3 linked regions of the Coturnix japonica genome follow. The protein of the gene in region 1 binds, or shares a complex with, the protein of each later gene. Links are inferred from orthologs where the notes say so. Each region holds a gene or a part of one and is shown in the gene's direction. Other genes may lie near its edges.

Region 1 (5,741 bases):
ACAAAGGAAAAGGTTTGGCCAAATTGGGACAGTCTCTGGAGCGCTCCTGGACTGTAGATGGAGCTGGGGCCTTGAAGAGCTGAGACAATATAAACCAAATCATAGGATGGCTCAGGTTGGAAGGGACATCAAAGATCATCTAGTTCCAGCCCTCAGTTGTGGGTAGGACTGCTGCCCCCCGGGTCAGACTATGCAGGGCCTCAACCCGCCTGGCCTTGAACACCTCCAGTGATGGAGCATCCATAGCTTTTCAGCTTCTCTAGGCACCTTTGTGCACTCCATGTAACGGCTGTTACTCATGCCTACTGAGCAACATTGCTCTGCTTTCTGCTCTTTTTTTTTTTGAGGCGAGGAAGGGAGAGGGAAAAGTAAAAGGAAAAGCCAAGATTTTTGCAGGATGTTTTGTGGGTGCATTTAGGACAGAGCTGGTATCTTCATAGTAAGCTGTAATTTCCAAGCTGTAGGTCATGGTCATAAGATGTTCATGACTTTTGGAGGTGATGTTACGTGCCTAGAAGCACTAATCAGAAACCTATTTATGAAGGGGAAATTTTGGGAAGCAGCCCTCTCTTTTTTCTTTGTTTTTCTTTTGCCAGAGCCACTCTTAGATTTTGACCACAAGAAAGCAAAGTGTGGAGAGAAGTGGAAAATTATGTTGCCGTTCCAGTTCAGGTCTTGTTGTCAGAATATGCAAGACCTAACAAGATTAGAGCGGTTTTGCCCTTTAATTTAAGCAGATGCATGTTGGAGTCACTAGCAGATTTACATCATAACTCTGGTTCAACACTGACTCATGGGATTATTTCATTCTGCTGTATTCTTTTTTGATGAACCACTTTGCTCCTTGTTTTGTGAGGGAGGGTTAAACAGTAATTCCTCAATGAAATATTTCTCCCTTGTTGAAACTTGAATGGGATATTTTCCAGAAACTCGGCTCAGAAACCACCCTTGACATACCAGCTCTGCCAGAAATGCCTTACCGAGAAAGCAGATTGCCCAGGGGGTGGTAGCATTAACAAAACGGGCAAGGGGGACTCCGAGCAGATCACCTCACTCACAGGTGCTGTGAAGCCCAGAACATCTGCAAAGAACCAGCCATCTGCGCAATTACAGGCTGCAGCTGCTACAGCATCATAACAAAGCACTAAATTGGAGCTCAAACGTGAGAAGGGGCTAAGCTGGTGCACGAGGGAGCCACGAGCTAGCTAAGGGATGTAATGAGGTTTTTAATTCAACAGCCTCCTTGAGACCTGTAAGATCTTCCTATAACTCCAAGATTCTAATGAAGAGAAATGTTTCTTCCGGGATGAAAAACAGAAGGTACAGTACAGTCTAGGCTTGACTGCGCTTGCTGATGCAAATGGAGAATGGATATTTCTTTTCAAGTCAGCTTTCTTAAATCAGAGTGTATTTAAAATGTCGGAAGGGGAAAAAAAAAAAAGACTATCTTTGCCTGGTATTGATTTTTCTCATATGTTTTACCTATGTTTAAATCTGTTTTCCTTTCTCTCCTAGAAATCTGATCTCCCCCAAAGCATAGACTGTGTAGCTATAGGAGCAGGACTGCACTGCTCTTGGAAAAATCTGCATGCCATTGTGCTTAGATTTCCTTGCTTTTGCATCTGAGCCGAGCTCCTGACAATTGAAAATATTTAAAGGAGGAAAACTAAACCCTAATGAATGTGAAAGGCGTTTGCACAAAAACACAAGCCATCTTCCTTCTGTCTTAATAGAAATACCTTAAAAGGACTGCATAGGCTATACAAGTAAATGCAACAACTCATTCCCTCTATGTATGCCAGTTTTTGAAAGTATTCATTTCTATTTTTGTCTCTTTACTTGTTATCCAAATAAAGATCTCTAAGTAAGTACAATTTCTGCCTGTCTAAGCTCAGCAGCTCGGTGGTCACATCTTCTTCATATCATTTTTCCTGTGAACTTTCAGTTCCTTCTCCTTTACTTGGAATAAAATCAAGCACTCTGTTAATAGCCAGGACTCTTCAGTCGGAAGTCCGTACCACATCTCATCTGGGCCTGCACAGGCAGTAGGTGAAATGCTATCAGGTGAAACTGTGCTGAATAACTTTAAAGTCACTTTCCTATAATAGAAACTTAGTTCAAGAGCAGAAGAAGTGCTGGTCTGCTTCACTGTTTTCCAAGACCCATTTTCACCATGTAAAGTCAATTGGCTGTAAGCTGCGGACCCAGCTTGGCTTCAAAGAGTGCCTGGCTCCTCATTCACAAACTAAATGCTCTAGAGAGCTGCCAAATTGGGGAGATTATTCTGTCTCATTTTCTGGCAAGCTGCGACTGCGTGTACCGCTTCATTTATATGCTAATTAAGGCCAAGCCTCCAAATAGGCTCCATACAATATCAGTATGACTTGGCTCCCTCTCTATGATTATTCTGCCTTCCAGCAGCTTCAGTGAGCGTTCTGAGCCGGAGAACTTTTTCTACGTCTTCATCTATGAAATCCTGAATCTTAGCCCCAGCTTTCTGAATGCGATGGCGAGACAGGAGGGGTGCAGATCCCTTGTGTGAACGATCACCGTGGGGTTGTGAAGGTGAGCTCAAACCTTTTGTTGATGAGGACTCTCTCTACTGTCTTTGTCTTGGAGGAGAGGCTGTTGTTTCTTAGGTCAGCCAGTGTAATAAGAGATTGCAGAAGGCATGGATAATTCGGGGGGATGATGTGTTGCCAAGGTAGAACAGCCAGTTCTGTTGCCTGCTCTCTTTTGCCAGCTCATATGTGATCATAAGGCAAAAGCTCTATCTATTCTACCTATTTTTAAACCGCTGTAAGGATCCATGCATTCAGTCATTTTTTGAGGAGCACTATGTTGTTATTGAAAGAGCAGGTACCGACACTGTGATGGTTTCACGCTGGCTCAGCTCCACCACACTGCTATCAATCTCCTCACCTTCTGAGGCTGCCTTAGCTTTTAATGTAATTGTTTTGTATTTGATAAACTTCACAAACCAAGGATGAACGTTTCAGTAAATGGGACACTTGCCACAAGCTGAATTCACTAAATATTTCACCAAGGGCTACCGAACATAGAGTGGGAAATGTGTGTATTTGTGGTAAGAAATCTTTGAGCCTTTTTGGAGGGAAGTATTAGTACCTTTTGCTTAAAGCAGAGAGGTGAAATTGGCTCACAAGTGTATTTTACCAGGCATCCAGAGCTCTAGAGTTTTGAGCTAAGTTCTGAAATTTCCATGTAATATCATTTCCCTACTTTTCTGAACTTCCTCTTAGAAAAACATCAAGGTATATTTTAAAGCCTTGTTAAAAAAGAACTGAGCACTTGAAAGTTAGAAAATTCCCAGCTAGCAGCACACACCCTTTGCAGAGCTGTATTACAGCACATGCCATTACAGACAACAGCAGCACAGATGCGGGTGCATGGAGTCGCTAAATGTCTAACTTTTCAATAGCCTGTGTTTGTATTGGATTTCACAGTCCTGGTCCAGGTAACCAAAGAGGGGATTCATAACCTATTGTGGATAGCAAATGGACAAAGAAAGAGTGTTAACACAAATGTGTCAGAAGTTCCTGTGTTCTCATGGATCAAGTGCATGCTTATGACTTTGAAATCAGGAATGATATGAAATCAGGATTCATGGTTTGAGCTCAGGCATCTACGGTATCTCTGTATGTGGGAAGTGTGTTGTCCTTGTCTGAGCTGTGACAACACCTAATTCTCATTCAGGGTGCGAGGGATATCAGAATCAGCACAGCATGGACCACATCCCTGCCTCAGGCAGTTCAAATTTAGACTGCGTGTGCAAGGTAATTTGCTTACTTAGGGTGTGATCTGGCACGGAGACACTCCTCGCCTATTGATGTGGAGTCATGATCTAGCCAGCAAAGGAAGACTCATCAAGCCACAGAGAGATAAAGCAAGAGGGAGCACGACTGTTTTGCTTGATGATGAGGCAATTTCCTGGGGTGGACCAGGTGTGGGTTCTGGTACTTCCCAGATGCACTTAAGCATTTTTGCAACCCTCTCATCACTCACCAGAGAAACCTTCCATGGGATTTCCAAAGCCTGCCTGTGCATTGAATTCCCCTTGTTACTGTGAATCGTTTATTTGAATCTCTCCTGAGCAACATGTTGCCTCCGGGTTATGACCGGTTGGCTGACAAAAATAGGTGCCAGGTGAGGTTCCTGCCAGGGCATGACCGCCGGGCTGAAGAATACAGCACTTGTGCAAGGAAGCGGCTCATTTATTTCCATGACACGCTGTTCTTTTGTGTGCTGCATGCAGCAGGTCTTGGCAAGCAGCACTCATGCATGTTTCTGTTTTATGTGGAAAAGCTCCAAAGTTGATAAATTTCCTGTGTCAGATAAAGGACATCTCTGTTCTAGGCCAGGATGCTTTCTCTAGCATCCTGTTGCTATTCAGGCTGCAGTTCTATTGCTGCTGGAGTACGATGCTTGTTCCTTAGCAGATCCAGAGGCTTTAAAATTTGTTTATTCTATGCTGGAGTGAAAGGAGAACCCTTTGAAATGTTACTGATTTTTACATATATATATTTCTTGCCTTAATGTCCTCTTTTGGACTCTTAACAGGACATTTCAATTAGTGAAAAGGTATTTTATGGTATCAAACACTGCCTTGATGCAGGAAACATCCCACTTTACTGTGGTAGTTCTGCACACCTCAGAGGTTTAGACTGCAGACCCTCTCAGATGGACAGAGCAGGAACTTGAACACGGGTGTCCCATGGCTGAGAGCTCACCAGATATATAAAACCCTTCCATTCATTGCCAAAAGTGCTCTGGCTATGCTGCCAGCTAGCCACACTGACACTAGCTGACGATGCCAGACATTTTGAAATGTGTTTCACAAAGTTATGCACCTATGGATAAGGAAAGTTCAGCTTTTGCAGCAAAAAGGAAAGTTCACTGGTAGATTAAACTGGAGAAATATGTGGGGAGACTGATTTAAAGAGTGGAAGGGATGGTTTTGCTGTAGGATTTAGACACTATCAGCGTAAAGGAGACGGTGCACATAAATACAGGACTTCCTTGCTGCAAGAAGATGGAAGAAAAAGCTCAGCAGTTTTGGGAGTTTCATGAGAGCATATTAGTGTGTCTGAGAAAAACCGAGTTCTCAGTGGTTAGTGTCCTGTTGAGCACTTCTGAGGACTGTAATTGCAGTGGCTTGTCTGGGTATAGAAAATGCACATATTGTGATGCTGGCAGCTGTGTGAAGACTTGCTGAAGGTAGTGGGTGTAACAACCACCCTTCATTTTATTCGTAAAGTGCAATTAGGTTTTATGGAATAGATAGCTGAAACAATAGGAGCCACCACCCCAAAACTATGGGTACACGCAAAGCTGTTCAAAAACCTGTGCTGTGTGGGTGGAGGGTTTGATAACATGCTGAATTAAGGTGCAGGTGGCTGAACATAGTTCACGTGGGAGAGAAACCAGAAAGACATCAAAGCAGATGCATAGGGAAGACATCAAGAAAGTCCCAGCGAAATAAAAATACTTGCTGTCTAACTGAATAAAAGCCAAGAGAGTCACCAGGAATCCAGCAACCTGGAGCTCAAGGCAAGCAAATGAGGTGCTACCTTCTCCAGTGTTCTCACTGATACAAGGAAATGGATGTTGATGGGGTTGCAATGAAATCAAAAGGTTTTGTTTCAAAATAAATAAACAAAAATAACAGGACCACGTTCCACCATCTGTCCATCTGCCTGGGAGAAATGATGCAGAAATATCAG
Region 2 (5,252 bases), about 17 Mb from region 1:
AGCTCACTGACATGAAAAAAGTAAGAATTAATCTGAACTAATACAGTTTTGAAGAGATTTGTTTTAGGAAAAAAAGAATGCAGAGAAGGGTATTTCAGTAATCATTCGACTTAGGGTGACCATAATGAACTGAATACTTAATATAAACTGTGACTTTTTAATGTGTTTCTTAATCTTTCTCAAACAGGACAGAGACTCTGCTTCACAAAAGCCGACAGAGGTAATGTGTGTGTGTGTGGCCACGCACTTGTGTGTATATGTGGAGAAGCATGGGCAGCATGGATGTTGGAAGGCTCAGTCATCTGAAATTGCAGTATTCAGTTCCAAAGGGGGAAAAGCTGACATGCAGTCAGGAGTATACGATGATTGCCGCAATCACTTCTGAATCAGGCTTAGGGTGTCTCACACATTCCTTTCTTTTCCCACAAGGATTATCTTTCAGTTTTATTGAGCATAAGGTTGCCATCACATCTAATGTTTCCCTCACATGTTCTACCACTTGATAATTAGCAAAGCTAGCCATTAACTATTATACTGACTGTGTAATTACCTTTGATTAGTATCTCTAAAAACCCTTGGGTTTCCAAATTGTTTTCTGTAACAACTGTGTTCTTAAAGAGACTGTCATTGCAGAAGAGCTAGCCTATGGTACTGTATGGCATAGTTTGCATGCAGCAGTTATTGCATGGATGAAGATCTGAACAGAGAACACCTACATCAGACACCACTCTAGGGTCCATTCAGCAAAAGCCAAAGGATCTTTTTTGGATTATGAATGGATTTTTCACTTTTTAAAGAAACAGTGAAACAACCAAGAAGGTTGAAACTATTACTTTAAATTGGTTATGTGATGTTTCAGATTTCAGTTCCTGTCATTTTTACTCCTTGCTTTGTTGCCTATTTTCCTCTCAGCTTGGACAGTTGGCAGAGTCAATTAGTTAAATCATTCTGAAATTGCAAAGTGATGACAGCTGGAAGGGGCTGTCCAGAACTTGCCAGAGATCCAATTCAGCGTGAGGGTCTTGTCTCTTTCTTTGCTTCCTCTGTTGCTACAGCTGTCAAAGCCTTATAGGGTTGTATTTTTACCTTTTTAGTACATGTAAGCTGCGCTTGCAGAAAATGAGCAACATCTTCGAAATGGCATGTTAGTCTTAGAATTTAGTGATAGTAATCTCAAGTCCTGAACTTGTTCAACTGAAGATCTTGTCTGTTCTTTATGGTTTTTGTAATGTTTTCCCATAGTAACAAGTGAGATCGAGTGACTCTCCAGATTATATGGCAGTGATTACTTTGCATCTTCCTCAAAGGTCTTTTGCAGTTCCCTGATATTGACTGTTTGTTTTCCTAACTTTAGCAGGCTAAACCTCGCATGGAAGGTAATAATTTCGCCACTCTCCCTCCAAAATCTCCTTCTCATGGCATCACAGGAGATGAGGACAGTTTTGGCACCCGTAAAGCCAGATCTTCCTTTGGACGAGGCTTTTTCAAGATAAAAAACAATAAGAGGACTGCAAGTGCCCCCAATCTAGGTAAGTATTGTACACCTAAATGCAAATCATGTATGTATCTAACAATGTTTCCAATAACAGATAAATTAATAAAAAAATATTTTTCTAAGTGATGTAACTGTCCTTAAGAGCTGAAAAGCCAGCCTTCATCTTGCTATGATATGGTGATGTGTATCACAGTAAAATGGTTGCAAAAAGTCAAGCAACAGCCAAAGAACGGAGAAAACTTCACTGATGTAACAACTTAGTTCATTTGTTTTCACCTCTGCTGTGTTATCTCCTCTGAGACCATGTAATACGTTACTACAGTTTTGAATTGCTGGCTGTCTGGGATTTGTGGATCTTTTTTTCCTTGGCTCCATCTCCAGTTTATCTTTCATAAGATGTACAGAAATGTACAGAAATGAGGCAGCTGCAGTCAGTCTTCCACTTTGTTTTATGTGTTTATGTAACCTTGCAAAAGAGATTGTGAGAAAAAGAATAATATTGGTAAAGTTATTCAAGCTCATTTTGAGTCCTGGACTTGTGTGGGAGGGTTTTCTGTTTTGGTCTTGTCATTTGCACAGTGAAGAAATGAACAAAATGTTCTGCTTAATGCAGAATTTTCTTTTACCAGCGGTTGAAGCCTAACTTGCTTTAGCTGATTTGTTGCAGGATTCTTTCCACTGTTCCAGTTCAAGCATTAAGTGAGTCATGAATCAGAACTATTGGCATTTATCTACACTTTTTGGCTCTGTTGCACAACATTTGGAATTCGGTTTTGTCTTTCAGAAGCATAAAGGCAGATAATGTCCTCTATGTTGAGAAGAAGAATTTATTGCTTTTACTTATCAATGACAATTCTAGATCTTTTTTTTCAAATGAACCAACATACCCACACATTTATTATGCATTGCCCCTATTTTCCCTTGTCATATGGCATGGGAACTTTCTAGCGTACTTGGAATAGATGTGCAATCTATTCTGAGGGTTAGACTCTTTGCTTTGGTTTATTTTGTCTGTGTTTGTGTGTAATCACCTGTTTCACCCTGTGATTAATTTGTCTAACAAGATGGAGGTCTTGTGGCTGTCCTAAAGGATTGGAAGATGAGCCATCTAGATCAGGCTCCTGTGAATTTGAGTGATTGTTATCCAGCTTTCATTGCATCCACCTATAAAGTTGGTGCCTAGATTCTTGCCACCCCACAGGAGCCCGTGTGAGTTGCAGAGTGGGTGGCCTCCCTGCACTGCAAAGAATGAGGTGCTGGTTTACCCTCTCCAACAAGGAGCTCTACTGCATTCATTTACTAAGAGAGAGATGAACAGTGAATTGTTTATCCTAATCTCTGCGTGATTCATTCTTGTGTGTGACGTATGTGTCTCATTTACCTCCCTCCTGTTGTCTTGTATTTTGTTGATGTAAGTTTTGAAATATGTTTTACCTTGTCCTTCTGCGTGTTCTCTCCCTTTGTGCTGCGTGTGGTTATGTGCGTTGTTTGGATATCTGAAGATCGCAGTCGAAGTGCAAGCGCCCCTACTTTAGGTACAGTAATCCTGCATGTCTGCCTGTACCAGCGCTGTGCTGTGGCTGTTGCTGATGGCTGGATGTAGCCACACACTTTTCAAATAAAAGCTAGACACCAGAGCTCTGCATCAAACACCTGTGCATCGCTAAAAGGAGTTTTCATGTAACATCTGCCCTCTGCTAAAAGTCAGCTGTGCCATTTCTTGATAACTGCTACTAATGAGAGATTGCGGGTTAATTTGCAGAGACCTTTACTGTAACTTTGAGCACAAAGTTATTTACAGACCAAGACAGCAACAGGGAAACAACAGTGTATGAACACCAGGGGTGCCTCTGTGTCCATCCTAGAGCCCCCTGGGAAAGCTTGAAGGGTTGTAAAATAGGACATTGAGTGTACTTATTTCTCAGGAATTCATTTAGGGGAACTCTGAGTGAAAGGGTAAGTTCTCTTTTAAGAAATACCTACATTTATTGTGTAATAAATGAATGAGAAATAACTGGGACAGATTTAGATGGAGCCATTAGTATAGTAAAAACTGGCCTCATGATGTGAGTGTTCCCTGGGTGGTTCTGGCAAGGGCAGAGAGGAGCAGCAGGGCCAGGTATTAGCAAGGGGAGCTTGCAGATGTGGTGGCACAGTAGTTGCCTGTGGCCTTTGCTGACAAAGAGACACGAGTCCTCTTGGCCCTTTCTTGGTTTACCTTGATTGGCTTCTCCTGGGGTTATGCATCAGGGAGCAATGTACATGGAGCGACCATTGCAATACCCGCAAATCTCTGCTACTAATGTATCTAGCCTTGTCTTAGTATTCTCTCTTTAGACTGCTATTTAAATATGTATTTTTTGTTGTTGTTTTTTCTAGGGTAGAACTTTTTCTTACACAAGTAAAGCAGAATCCACAAGTGCAAAAGCTTTGTTTGATATGCTGCTCTCTCTCACCAGCAAGATTGCCTCATTGTTCAATAGCAGTCAAACCAGAGTGCTCCCAAAATCATCTTGCATATGGCCTTGTTCCCTCACTACAAGATTTTCACTTTCTCTGGAAGAAAATGGGACAAGTTCATGCATAGTCCATCTGAAATACCTAAAACTTTGCCCTGCAGGAAGATACTCTTGAGACCACGTGTCCCAGCAATAGATGTTCTAGCTTGATTTGTGTGATTTATTTGGTTTTCTCCTGCAAGTTTGAGGGTCCATTTGAAAAACACGATGGTGATCTTATTATGTAGCTATGTGAAAAGGTGGTAAAAGTGGCTGCAGGCTGCCTTGCCACAACTGTTTCACCTCAACAGGCTGATGCTGTTTCTCAGCGAGTGTCATCAGCTCCACATGGTGACTTTCTTCAGCTATCTGGCACTTTGCTGGCACACCTCTGCTTGTGTAGTCTTCTAGATATTGCAATTTGTTTCCTTTTAAATGGTCTTAAGTAGTCTTTTGCTTTGTTATTTCAGCTTTTACTAAACAATTTTGTCACAGTTTCACTTTTGTAGACAGGAACCTTTAGATTTGTTGTCAGTGGAAAACAAGGGCTACAGATCCAACTTTTCACGTGGGAAGTAGTGTGTAGATACGGAGATGCTCTATGCATCCCTTCAAAGGAAAAATGAAGTTCAGACAGAGTGTAGACTTAGTGGTATTTCTCTACAGAGAAACAAAATGCTCCACAACTTGAAGGAGAAAGCTTTCTTTCCACCAGCAGGGGAAAGGGCCCTCCTGCTCCTAGTGTGGGGGGAATTGTTTGTTGCTGGAATTTCCTCTTTGGGGAGCATAGGAGGTAATGGAGGTAATTAGGAAGGCTGCCCACTGGGAAATAATTTATTCTTCTGTGCTCTGGGGACTCCTGGTTCTCCTCCTGCCATGGCAATGATTCATTCCTGGAAGACCATCCCTGAAAAAGAGTGAGCTTGGGATTTGAATCATTGATTGGTTCACCAGGTATTTGTTGCCTGCTTTGGATGCAAAGCACTCAAGTAGTGCAGGGCATTGCCTTGGAGTGTTTACAGTAAGACCCGTGAACAAGAAACACATTTTGTTTCTTTGGGTTTTTCACATCCCTCTTCACCCCATTTTCCTAACATGGAGGCTGTCAGTAATTTTAGCAAGAGTCATTCCAGAGTTCAGGAGTGTGCCTGTGCAGTCCTGCAGAAGTAAGTCTTGACAAAGCTTTGTTTTCTAATAGCTGAAACAGAAAAAGGATCTGCGGATCACCTGGATCTAGCTGGTTTGCCTCCTCGACCCAA
Region 3 (5,252 bases), on another chromosome or scaffold:
TTTCTATCTGAAATGTGGGAAAACAATAATCAGTGTTGCAGGTGAACTGAGTATAACTGAGAAAGTCTGTATAGGATAGTTCAAACCTTTATCCTAATAAACAGCATTTCAGATGATTGTATTTCATGAAGACTTGTGTTGCTCTCTACTAATAGCAGTATGGAGTGATGACCAGGAATGTTTGCTCATCAAAGTAATTTGTATTAGACAGTCTGTGATTTACAGTGTAAAAGCATCATTCTAATGTATCAAGTCTAAAGCTCTAACAAGCTATGTATGAGAAACTGTGCTGGTGTATCCTCACCTCAAGAGTCTTGTGCAGTTTTGGGTACCAGAATTTAAAGATACGAAGCCAGACTTGCAGCCCTTGTATGGCACACCCTGATAGCCTAGTATGTATCTGTGCAAAGTTTTTAATAATATTAACAGAAAACAGCTTGAAAGTTTTCTGAGTTACTTTTCAGTAGTGATTTCTCTCTGCAGGAAATGAAGCTTTGTGGGAGGGGTGTTCTATTCTGGTTACAATGAGCAGCAAAAGTATTTTATTATGAAGATCTTTCCAAATGATGCAGGCATGTGTCTCCTAATTTTAATTATAAAATGTGATGCATTATATAAAATAGCAGTCAAAGGATAGAATTGTTTCTAAAGGTGAAATAGACAAGAAATCACAGTGGATGTTGTGCATTGACATTTGTTGCAAAAGGCATTTTTGGCAGAGCTAATTAAACTGTCGTATTTGAATATAGCGAAGTGTTTCTGAAAGATTCAGATACATGAATGCAGAAAAAAATCCTTTGGGAATCTTTAACTCGTAATTACCAAACTGTTTAACCAAAGCTCTGAACAGCAGTATTTACTGTATTTAGTTGTTTTTTCTCCTCACTATGATTACCTGCAATTTGTAGCATGAGAAAATGCTGTAGTTGTATCATCACTCAAACAAAAACAAAATCTAAAATTATAAACAACTGTTCAGCCTAAGAACAGTGTTCTTAAGTGTTCTTATGTAGCTTTTAAGATATGTTCCTTTTCATATCACTCATTCTTAGCTTGATATGACACAAATTACTCCAAATCGGGAAGTAAAAACATTAGACCAGATGTGCCAAAGACATGAATTGGCATAATTACTTAGATGAAGAGCCTACACTCCAGTAAATGAGCACATATTGTTGAAAACAGTGACCAGCTGCACCTGAGCTGTTGAAAATTAAGCCTTTCAATGATGGTGTATTTAACTAAATTGTCAGTAATCCTTTTAATGTTGGTAACAATCCTAAATTTTTGAACTGCTAATGTTTATCATTTTAACAGGATGACGATAAGAGCTTTAGGCGAGCACCTTCGTGGAGAAAGAAGTTTAGACCAAAGGACATAAGAGGTTTAGCTGCTGGATCAGCAGAGACTCTTCCTGCAAATTTCAGAGTTACAACCTCAATGTCTTCACCCTCTATGCAGCCAAAGAAGATGCAGATTGATGGTATTTACTTTGGATTATTTGAAGCATGATGTGCTTTCTTGCTTGAGATTACAGGGGAATGAAGTTCAAATGAGCTTTTTTTGCTCCTTGAAAGCATCTGCCTTGTGCATGGTTGTATTTATAACACTGTTTAACCACAGAGTGCGTTGTAATTTCAGGAACTGTATTAGATAAGGAGGTTCTTTTTACTTCATTGGAATAACTGTGATAATTTTATTTAGGAAGTTATATTAAACTGGGAAAATAAAGTGACATTTAGGTAGGAGTCTTGTAACATGACGCATGGTTTTGAATTAGTAGCAATTAGACCAACGTAACCGGTCCCACATCTGAAATGCAGTGAAATGGCATTCAGGAAATGTAATGAATGAACATTCTCAGATAATTTTGAGAATATTACAACTTGAGAAAAAGGGCATTTCCGCCCTCCCCACCCCCCTTTGAGGATATTTGTAACTTCTATTTTAGAACTGATTATTAAAGCAATTTACATGGATGGATGGGTGTCCCTTCTCTCTATGTGAAGGGAAAAGTAAAAGAGAGAGCAACAAAAAACTGTACGAAAAGGAAAAGAAACAGCACTTGGAAGTGAGAATCGATCGCCTGTCATACCTATTATATTGTCAGTTTAAAAGCAGTCTGTCTAATAGCATGAGAATAAAATTCTCTTTTTCTTATGAAACAAGTAAAAAACAGATCAAAAATATATTTAATTGGAATAGATAGGGTGTGAGTTTCCTCATAGTCTGTCAGAGCTGTCTCAAGTTCTGAGGAGTGTATTAGAGTAAAGGTCAAAGAATCGACCTTTACACCTGATGATACCACCTTTACTACCTAAAATGTCAGTTGGTTTACATTAAAGATTGTGTGTCAGTTGGCATGCAGGTTTTTTTTAGGATTCTTTTTGATAGCTGCAGAAACTAGAACTGATTAATGTATAAACTGTACAGTAAATTTAGGTTTTCTAACTTGTAACCTTTGAGTTAAATGAGTGCAGTAGCTATAATCACACTGCTGTAATGTTTTTTGTAAACTAACATGCATGCTGTGTTCTGCATGTTTTCCCATGCCTCTAAATAGGCAGTGTATCAGGAACACAAAGATTGGATTCTGCTACAGTAAGGACCTACTCCTGTTAAAGCCTTCTCCTGGTGAGTAAAGTCGATAGGTGTAATAGTAAAGCAGCTATTTATGAGTAAAGTGTCAGGTGTTTTAATAGAATGAATTGTAAAGGCTTTTCGATTTGGAGAGTAGATTGCATTTTGAACACAGCTTATTTCTTATCGAGACAACTGAGGTTCACTATTTACTTCTGTACACCGCTGTATTCCTCAGTTGTTTTTTCTCAACCACCTCAGAAAGTAACTCATGCAAAGTAACTGTGTAGAAAGCTTTGGAGTCAAAGGTGAAATGAAACAAGTAGCAAAAGTGGGGAGGAAGAGAACTAAATTAGGGATATAGCTAAAAGAAAACTCAGTTTGTGGTATTGCGATTCAGATTCTTTTGGTCTTTGCTTGGTGAAATACACTGCACTATACTTATATATTGAATTTTTATGGGGTAACTACATTGATTTCTGGCTCTCAGATGCTCCATACTATTGTGATTGTTTAGTTTGTCTGGCTGGATTTACTTACCTGCAGTCCAAAATCTGGGTAATTGTGGAACAGTGGTGCCAGTGAAGCAGCTTGATAACAAAGGATATTTAAACAAACAATGGATGTATTCTGAACAGTGAATACATATTCAGTTCTGTTTTACTTGAGGATTTGGGTTGATTTTTCTTCATCAGCTTCTGCTGTATTTTTTCATCAAACAATCTTATTTTACAAACAAGTTTGGAAACTAACATTTTTTTTGACTGTTGGATACAGAAGAAATCCAATGAGAAAATATTCTTACTGCCACTAGCAGATATCTATGGGCAATAAATTGTCCATCTCTGTCTCTTCTGTGTACAGCTTCTTTCTTTCCACCAGTAACATCCCTACCAACTCATGTATAGTGGCTGCCTTTTCTTCAAATCCTGAGCCTTTAATATACAAGTTTAGTTCTAAAAAGTTCTCAGCAACTCAGACTATGTGGATCTGACAGTATATATAATATCAGGGGTTATCTTCATGTTTTTAGTTTTAAGACACCAAAGCTTGGAGTCTTCACCCATAAACGTGCTAGAAAATTCTGAAACAGTGCGGAGGATTATAATCTGGATGACCTTGAATGAAAATCTAGGAAGTAAAAATACTTGGCCTCATGTGCTTTACTTTGCAAATGAAATTAATAATCAGCAATGAAATGGTGTGTGTTGTGGCATGGCAATAATTTGGTGCATGACTGCTACGCTACTGAGTTGTTTGTGAGGAACTTTAACAAATGGGTATTTTGTAAACAACATTTCATTCTAATCAGATTATTTCTTTATTTTGCAGTTTACCCACACTATTTCTACCGGTGATATGCAGCATTTTGAACATTTGGAAACCGTAACCTGTTAATACTTCTTAAATGGACACTTTGAGATATTTTATTACAGAGTTTTTAATTAGCGAATAAATTCATGAGTACTATAGAGAAAATATTTTAGAATCTAAATGTTTCTTATATTTATGTGACTTTTCATTTATATAGTTACTTACTTTTTTTTTTTCTGTTTCTATTCAGTCTACAATGAATCATTGCTGATTTTTAATCTAATTTTAGTCTTTCCAACTGAATGTACTGTAATGCTTGTATGTATATGTCCCTATAAATAATGTAGGGTTTTTGTAAATTATGCAGTTACTGTAATTATCATTGTTTTTTAATAATGAAACTGAAGGTGAAAAGAATTTTAATACCTTTGTAAAAGTATCATGACACCAAGCAGTATATATTTTGTCTTTTGGAAATGTTAGCTAGATCTGAAAACAAGTCCAGCTTTTTTTCAGGCAAGCGTATGTTGTTGTTGAAGGTATGGTACATAATTGTTCTTTTCGGAAGTGTACCTTTCCACAGAGGAATTGTCAAGTAGTGGGAATTTGTCTTTATTTAAAATAGAACTTGTTTGAAAAGCTGAGAAGAACTCAAACGCTACGGAACACATTTTACAAGTGATTGACTCGGTCATAACTGTGTCTCTGCTGTATTTGTATAGCATGTCTTCACAGTGACTGAGAACAAGCCATAAACCAAGAACTGTTTTTCTTAACTGAGGAAGATAGACTTCACAATAATTCCTGGTTGTAATCCACGGGCCACAGAGAGTGATTTTGTGCTAGATCTTTTTTGACTGAAAACACTTGTTGAAAGATGCTGTTAAAACTAATGTTAATGGACCAGTCACGAAGCACTGCAGTCTCACGTCAAATGACTATTGAAAATGAAGGTACAGTGTGCTGAGAACTAAAGCAGTGCAACTCCTAATCAAGGCCTTATTTTCTTATGTAAATCATATTTTGTGTTTTGTAAACTTGTTCTAAAGAGTTGTCTGGACTTTAGTTTGAATGGTTGTAGCCATTTTGGACTGTATGAGTAGAAAAATGTATCCGACACTTGTAAATGGCATATTAAAAAGCCAGCAAGATTCTGTTCAGATGGTGCATTATTTATTATGCAACAATATATATATAGCATGTCTTTTTTTTTTTCTTATTTTGTTTTCCACTTTTAACTTGCTTGTAAAACAAATTCATTGTTACTGTTCTGTTTTTCTATTAATCTTTTGTGTATTTTCAGATTATGTAACAATATGTACAGTCTACTTTTGAACTATTTTTATCACAGTATTATT

What was found. The genes of interacting proteins can lie anywhere in the genome.
Region 2: PHLDB2 (region 1) and PPFIBP1 share a complex: the UniProt entries of both Homo sapiens proteins name them as parts of the cortical microtubule stabilization complex. The link is inferred for Coturnix japonica from reciprocal best matches to the Homo sapiens genes PHLDB2 and PPFIBP1.
Region 3: PHLDB2 (region 1) and PPFIA1 share a complex: the UniProt entries of both Homo sapiens proteins name them as parts of the cortical microtubule stabilization complex. The link is inferred for Coturnix japonica from reciprocal best matches to the Homo sapiens genes PHLDB2 and PPFIA1.

The regions. Positions count from the first base shown.
Region 1 is NC_029516.1:79,337,913-79,343,653, forward strand, and holds the start of PHLDB2 (pleckstrin homology-like domain family B member 2), read left to right. Parts: upstream 1-2,423; 5' UTR 2,424-2,565; intron 2,566-5,741. UniProt on the Homo sapiens protein: Seems to be involved in the assembly of the postsynaptic apparatus. May play a role in acetyl-choline receptor (AChR) aggregation in the postsynaptic membrane.
Region 2 is NC_029516.1:62,759,901-62,765,152, forward strand, and holds part of PPFIBP1 (liprin-beta-1), read left to right. Parts: intron 1-187; coding exon 188-220; intron 221-1,354; coding exon 1,355-1,529; intron 1,530-2,997; coding exon 2,998-3,030; intron 3,031-5,191; coding exon 5,192-5,252. UniProt on the Homo sapiens protein: May regulate the disassembly of focal adhesions. Did not bind receptor-like tyrosine phosphatases type 2A.
Region 3 is NC_029520.1:6,924,167-6,929,418, reverse strand, and holds part of PPFIA1 (liprin-alpha-1), read left to right. Parts: intron 1-1,317; coding exon 1,318-1,483; intron 1,484-2,563; coding exon 2,564-2,622; 3' UTR 2,623-2,634; intron 2,635-3,912; coding exon of another isoform or gene 3,913-3,938; 3' UTR 3,939-5,252. UniProt on the Homo sapiens protein: May regulate the disassembly of focal adhesions. May localize receptor-like tyrosine phosphatases type 2A at specific sites on the plasma membrane, possibly regulating their interaction with the extracellular environment and their association with substrates.